Linked DNA regions of Coturnix japonica. The protein of the gene in region 2 purifies or fractionates together with the protein of the main gene of each other region. This does not show direct contact. Links are inferred from orthologs where the notes say so. Each region holds a gene or a part of one and is shown on either strand. Other genes may lie near its edges.

Region 1 (3,651 bases), on a different chromosome or scaffold from region 2:
CTATTCCCAGTAGTGAATAAGAAGCCCATTAGGAATGGGGTAGCATAGTGAATGAGAAGCCCACTTTCCTTTAAAAAAAAAATCTTTTTCTGACACTTCAACAGCATGCTCTTACTTGAAAATGTTAAATTCAATTGTTTCAAAGAGGGAATAATCTAATTCCCCCTCAATGTTTTAACTTCTTTTGCATATACACATAGCCTTATTGCTCTAGGAAACTAGACTAAGGAGCATTTCCATTTACTGAAAGCAAAATGTTTGTTAGCTCATTCTCAGCTTCAAGAGTGATTTAGGAAAGCATGACCACTACATGAGCACAATTGCACAATTAACATTACAAATGTTTCTTCAAGAACATCCAAGGAAAAGGTTGTAAAAAAAAGTCAATTCTGAACTAGGACATATTTCAAAGTGGGCTTTTCAAAAAGTATGTGTGTTTATTTTTGACTGACCACAATTCAACCAGCAGCTTTTAAGATTCTCCTAACCAAAGACAGCAAAGAGAGACAAGCCCAAATGTAGAAACTGCCTGTAATTCTCCTTTAACTCAACATTGTCTCTGGGTGCAGGTAGATGAGCACATATGAGCAGATAATCAAGACCCATTCACTATTTTGCAGCTAACAAGACAAGAATGTGCTTATTAGCTACAAGAGATCTGCTGCATTCCATGCTTTGTTGTGTCACTCAGCTGAAAAAACTAATAAAATTCCAAAACAAAAGCCAGTCTTTTTTTAATCACAGAATGAACAGGGTTGGAAGGGACCTCAAGGATCATGTAGTTCCAACCCCCCTGCCTAGCAGGGCCACCAAACATACACAAATCACAGCTCTTTTCCTCCCCCTGGTTTGGCAGAAGTCACAAGAATATCCTGTACCAGACAAAAGAGCCATCTTGGGCTATTACTCCAAGATTTCCATAAATGCCCAATAGTCAGACTTCATCATAATATAACATAATTAAGGCAGTGGTGTTGTTACAGACTTTCATCTCAGTTGATTGCTCCTTCAGAAACAGTTTACTTTTCAGAATGAGGTCTTCTTGACACAGACTATCCATTCATTAAAAATGTGTATAATCCAATTCAGGCCCTGTAGCTCACATTCAACTAAGATATTTCTTCATATAGGCTACCTTACATAAAAAGGACAAGTAAGTCAGAATGAATTGCCAATATTTTTTAAACCACAATTTCTCATTTTAAAGAGAAGAGGTCTGAGCTCTATTTAGCTAAAATTATTGCCAAGCAGCTGCAGTAAGCAGGAAGGTGTTACACTCACCACCTTGGAATAATTCCATTCTCTAAACTGGTTGTCTGACTTCGGAGCCAACGACGTTGATAGCTGCTAGAAGATGATGATGAAGAGCTCGGAGATGGAAAAGGAGTAACCAGGAGACTGCTCAAAGATGCTGTCAAAAAAAAAGAAGGAAAAAAACATGCTGAATTTTACTGAGTGTCAGTTAAATACTTTTCTTAATACACTGCCTGGGAACAAATTCACACAAATATTGTTCTCGTTTGCTGATCTCTGTGATACAGCTAGAATAGTTTTCATTTAACTCACTGCAAAAAGAAATGCACAACTAATTTAAACAACTATCCTCATCTTAGGACATGGCTACTTACAGGGTCAGAGATCTTCCTGGCTAGAACATGCTAAAACCAGTCTTATTCTCAGTAAAAGCATTCTGAGACAGGAGGTGCTTGCACTCCAGTCAGACTAGATAGACCTCAGTTTCCCAGCCTCCTCTTTTTACTCAGTGCTAATTTCTCTTCAATTCCCTTGCTACAGTAGAAGTTCCAGCCTGTTCTTTCTAGGGCTTACAAATTAGTAAAAAGCCAGAAAGTTATAGCTGTAAAATAATAATAACAATAATAATGAATACTCTTGCATAAAGGCAGAGGAAAGCAGGAAGAAAACTCAATAGATGCAAAACAAAAATTGGATTTCAGTTCTTAAGGTGTTGGATCACCTGGAATTTAGACAAGTCAAAGAACTGTAATGCAATTACAAAAGTAGGCAAACAAGACAAACATCAGATACCTGACCGAGCAATGCCGCTGTCTCTGTCCTCATTTTGTCCTCTGCTGGGCATATCGACAGGTGTACTATGTGCTAAAACAAACAGATCAATAGAAAAAAAATGTTACCTAATTTGTTGTATTATCTGTCAGCATTTTAAAAAATGTTAAAGATTAAAGGTCATAAAATACTGAAGTTACATCCTGAAATGTTACTTCAAATAAACAGTATGTTGGGAGTGGAGGCAGTAGCAAACTCCATGCTCCATAATCATTTTATTTTACCAGAGGAATTTAGTTACTTACCCAATCTAAAAGTTTCACCAAGAAGCTTGAGAATCTAAATTCTCTTTCACCAAAAATCAGATACACTTTGAAAAAACAGACTAGTGGTACTCTCATCTGTTAATCTTAACATTTGTTTTGTGTTCAAGATTATAATTTTACAGAAGTTAATGTTACAGTGGAATAGCCAGACATGAGGTCCATTAAGCTTCTGATTCACTCTCCAAGCAGTTGATTTATTAACTACAAAGCTTCACAAGTAAGACACATTTGCTTTATGCTGTGCTACATTGAGGTGTTAGTAGTGGAGTCACCAGAATTGTAAAGCATGCAAGATTTGCAAAGGCTGTGAAGAAACGCATTGGCATTTTAGTTCACATTTTTACAATTAACAGAACTAATTAAGCCCAGTATCTACCCACCTGCATGGATCATCATACACCTGTAAAAGGGCACTATGTAAAGAAACTGATATTGCAAAAACCTTAAAGCTCCTGACACTTAGCTCAAGAAGTAATACAGAAAGTCTACTGCCATTTATATATATATATATATATATATACACACACACATACATACACACACACCCCTAAAACATATATTTATTATTAATACATACATATATTTATATTTTAGGAAAGTAGTAAGGCATAAGAAAAAGCAAGACACCTCCACACTAGCAAGAAATCAGCCATAAGGCAGGAAACATAAGTTCTCTAAGAAATGTTAAGGGCTCATTCGTTATTAGACACATTGCTTTAAAGTTCAATACTGGAATTACAAACAAAAGATGAACAAAAAGAAATTTATCCATCAAGTGTCTTTTTTTTTTTTAAGAAAAATTTAGAGTATGAATCCAGATCTCTGCAGTCACCACCTCAGCCCTTTCTATTTCTAGAGAGTGATTATGTATTCTTTGCAAGGATTCAGAAAGAGCAGAATTTGTGTGTGCTTATGGATGGGTCACACTTTGGTTGGCATTCCACACAAACCTGCAAAGAAAGAAGCACTGCGGATGAGCCGGAGGGGACCTCCTTCAGACACACCCTGCAGCAGTTTGCTGCTACACAGCTGTAACACACCTAGGAAACAAAAGCAATGTAGAGAAAACACAATGCAAAGGAAAAATAAAAAAAAAAAGAAAAAGTGATGCACAAGAGGAAAATAAAAAAAAAAAAAGAGACCAACCCTAAATGAACAGATGGTATCACGGTACCAGAAAGAATATGGAAATATTTACCTAAATTACTTCCACTGCGACAGGTACCCAAGCCATTCTGATTAGAGCTCAGCTTTCCAAGGCTGGGATCTTGGTTAATGTATTCAAAGCTATCCTGTAAGC
Region 2 (3,651 bases):
AGTGAGTCCTTTTGGCTCAGCATTATAGAATCATAGAATCACCAAGGTTGGAAAAGACCTAAAAGATCATCCAGTCCAACCGTTCACCTATTACTAGTATAGTAATATTAGTACAGCCTTTTGGTAGCTTTCTGCATCTTAATCCAAAAGCTGCTCTGGCTCACTGCAATCAGTTTAAGGTTGATACAAGGAGTAAAAGGGCTGTGTGTATCTGGGTCTATAGGAGAGAGGCCACCTTTGTTCTTTTAAGCCATTTGTGATGCCTTTCAGGCTCCAAACTGCCACACAATAGCTCTGTTAGAATTTAAGTACCCAAAGTAGTGAAGGACAAAGTTTTGAGAGCTGATGTTTTACTTAATGATAATGTTAATCAATCTAAGAATAAGGTATTTTACCTTCCCTCATTATTTAGTGTATTTGAATGACTGTGTTTGATGCACCTCTTTCTGTTGTGGGTGTTCCTTAGCGTTTTGGTGATTTTAGTTTTCTATCAGCCTTTTATAAGACTGTTACACTGTCCACTGTCTGTGCTGCAGGTGTTTGAAGCTGAGCAGTTTGGGTGCCCTCAGCGTGCTCAGCGGATGAACACAGCATTCACCCCCTTCCTGCACCAGCGCAATGGCAACGCAGCCCGTTCCTTAACATCCCTGACCAACGATGAGAACCTGTGGGCATGTTTGCACACTTCTTTCGCTTGGTAATATCACTTGTGTTTCTGGCTTCTGGAACACAAAGAAAATATTGCCTTATTTTGAAAGGGTGGAAATGTTTGGGTTGTTTTTCTTGATGTAGTAAGCTGGACTTTGCTAAGAAGTCTCTGAATTGGAAGGAGCTGAGCACGGAAGGCCTCGTGATGGCTTTAAGGCAGAAATAGTTCTTATTGCAGTGAAGTAAATCTCCTTATGTGACTATTGATGGGAAAACTGAAGTACGAGGAAAAGGAAGGAGAAATGCAAGGAAAGACACTCCCACCCCTCAGTGTGTCATCAGAATTCCCTGGAAAGATGCCACAGAGAGGGATGCAGTGCTGGCATGTGACTTGGGTGGGGGATAAGCATATTGCACAAGGTAATTGCAAAATGGTAGGCCTTGCAGTGACTGAGCAATTAGAACACTGGTAGTTAGGACAAAGGAACATGTAGGCGTGTGGATAAGGAACACGTACTGGTAAATGGTTGAATGTTTTGTTACACCAAGTTTCTTTCTCTGTTTTGTTGCTTGGCATTCATTAAGCCTGCTTACTGCTTCCACCTGTTTTTCAATGTCTCCAGGCTTCTGAAAGCTTGTGGCAGCCGGCTTACAGAGAAACTTCTGGAGGGAGCTCCAACTGAAGACACCCTTGTTCAGATGGAAAAACTTGCAGGTGAGGCCAGAGTTTCCAGAGCTGGAAGATCCTCTAAGAACGCTGTGGCTGGTAAAACACCAAGTGCTTTTGCCAGCATAGCAAGTGCAACCATCTCTCTTGGACCCCACCTTAATGGTAGCCCTGCAGTAGCTGATGTGCTTTCCCATATGACTGTGACTTCGAGGGACATGAAATCAATGCCTGTGGCATTGTAGGCTCTCTGCATACACTTATGTTGTTTATTGTTTGTGTAGGAACATTGCATCATTGTCATTATTGTTCTCTGGCTGGGTTGGCCTTCCCAGTTTATCTCTATAGCCAGAAGAATTTGCAGGCAAAATATGGAGCTTTCTTCTTGCTCTTTTTTTTTCCTACCAAGTTTCTAAAATTAAGGAATCTTAAATTCTTATATTTAGTGATTTTATTTCTCCATTTAGAATAGAATCTGCAAAATCTGCCTAAAAGCTGTGGCAGTGACCCTTAAAGAAAGAACAGAGGACACACAGCTGGTTGGAGGATGTGATGTTTTGTTCCATAAAAGATGAACTTTCCTTGTTGACTTTTCAATGATTATTTTATATCTGAGATGCAAAACTTAGTTATACTTTAAGGCTGGTGACACTGGTGTTTTCAGTTATTGTATTCCAAATACTTTCTCTCCACATGCAGCCAAAAACAGTTATCTGTAGTTTGTGTAGGCACTTCCAAGGTGATTTCCAGACTTAGCTGCAATTATAATGAGAACTCAGGTTGCTCTTGTCTGTTTGTTTGCTAGACCTCAAAGAAGAGTCAGAAGGCTGGGATGGATCTGAGGAAGAAGAGAAGCCTTCTTCCCAGCCAGATGCTGCAGAAGGGCAGGAACTATCTAAATGCTCTCCTGAAACATCTCTGATGCCAGATTGCAACAGATGGAACGTGGCTCACAGAAGGTTGTCTGTCTTCCGCTCTCTCAGGCATATGAGGCAGGTAAGAGAGGAGCACATTTACTTTGATTCTGAATTCAGGAGCTAATGAATTCTCATTCTTCCGACACTGTATTTTGAAAAGGATACTTTTTTTTCCTTCAGTTTGCATTTGTTTCCTGTTCAGGGCAATACCTACATAGCTAGTAACAGTGTTAATGGCATTTGAGATCCTGGCCCTCTCTGAGGTTGTGCTCTGCTTGTCCTGACCCTCTTCCAGTCATCTGACATGGATGGGATCATGTGATTTCTCTCCAGTTCTGCACTTCTGTCCTTCCCAAAAGCCATGTCAGTAAATGCAGAGGTTATGCAGCACATTCAGAGGTCTGAGTATTGTTTGCTTACAACAAAAATGCTTAAGGGGAAAAAAAATAGGGAACAAATGGTTCAGTCTGTGTGGATTTAACTTGTCATTAGTGCTTCCAGTTACTCTGAGGGGAAGGCTCTGTGTGGGAGACCCGTCGTTTCTTTTACACCAGCTTGTTTTCCTGGATGCTCTTGACAAGTATCTCCTACTTCTTGATCTGCTTTATCTGCCACTTGTTCTCCTTTGTCCTAATTTGGAATGCTAGAAGCTATTAAACTACACCATATTGCAACCTCTGGCTACCTTTAGAGGCCTATCTAAGCATATTGTTACATCTTTCATGCCTGAATCACTGTTAGGAACATAACACAGATCAGAGAAATGGGTGAAAGTTACCACGTAATAGAAATCATTCAGTCCCATTCCAAACAGGCCTGTATCCATCTTGCCCACCCACTAACTCAGCCAAGAAGCAGCTGATTTGTGTAACCCTGCCAGAGAGCTGAAGGATTGGAAAGATTCTCTTACTGTGCTTAATGCTGACTCAGATCATGGGTTGGGCATGTTGTCAAGGTGGTACTTTGCTGCTGTTTATTCGTGAAGCTGTAAGAGGTGGTGAAAATTACTTTGCACAAGTCTGACACCTTTAGCATCTGTCAGAGAAATACTTAATCTTGGTGCTGGGTTTTGAACTGTTGCTAAATGTTCATGTTCATTCCTGCTGTCTGGTTTTAGATGCTTTCCTGTGTGGCATGTGTTTTAACTGGGCAGACTGGGCATTTCCCTGACTTTCATAACAAATGCAGTATGGTTTCATTTCAGGTTCTTGGGGCATCAGCATTCCGCATGCTGGCTTGGCATGTTCTGATGGGGAACCAGGTCATCTGGAAAGCTCGAGACATGGATCTTGTCCAGTCTGCTTTTGATGTGCTACGGGTAGAGACTTCTTCCTTTGTTTCCCAGATGCTTGTTTTTACATGTGTTTAAATAGTCCAGCTTTCATAATAACCTGCCTCTAATATGTTAACTTGTGGAAG

What was found. The genes of interacting proteins can lie anywhere in the genome.
Region 1: the proteins of FLCN (region 2) and FNIP2 purify together in Homo sapiens (affinity purification with western blotting; 5 studies listed by BioGRID and IntAct, with this or other methods). This does not show direct contact. The link is inferred for Coturnix japonica from reciprocal best matches to the Homo sapiens genes FLCN and FNIP2.

What each region holds. Positions count from the first base shown.
Region 1 is NC_029519.1:19,400,300-19,403,950, reverse strand, and holds part of FNIP2 (folliculin-interacting protein 2), read right to left. Parts: intron 3,651-3,651; coding exon 3,550-3,650; intron 3,392-3,549; coding exon 3,302-3,391; intron 2,119-3,301; coding exon 2,047-2,118; intron 1,412-2,046; coding exon 1,282-1,411; intron 1-1,281.
Region 2 is NC_029529.1:4,761,935-4,765,585, reverse strand, and holds part of FLCN (folliculin), read left to right. Parts: intron 1-536; coding exon 537-697; intron 698-1,271; coding exon 1,272-1,363; intron 1,364-2,120; coding exon 2,121-2,311; intron 2,312-3,436; coding exon 3,437-3,550; intron 3,551-3,651. UniProt on the Homo sapiens protein: Multi-functional protein, involved in both the cellular response to amino acid availability and in the regulation of glycolysis.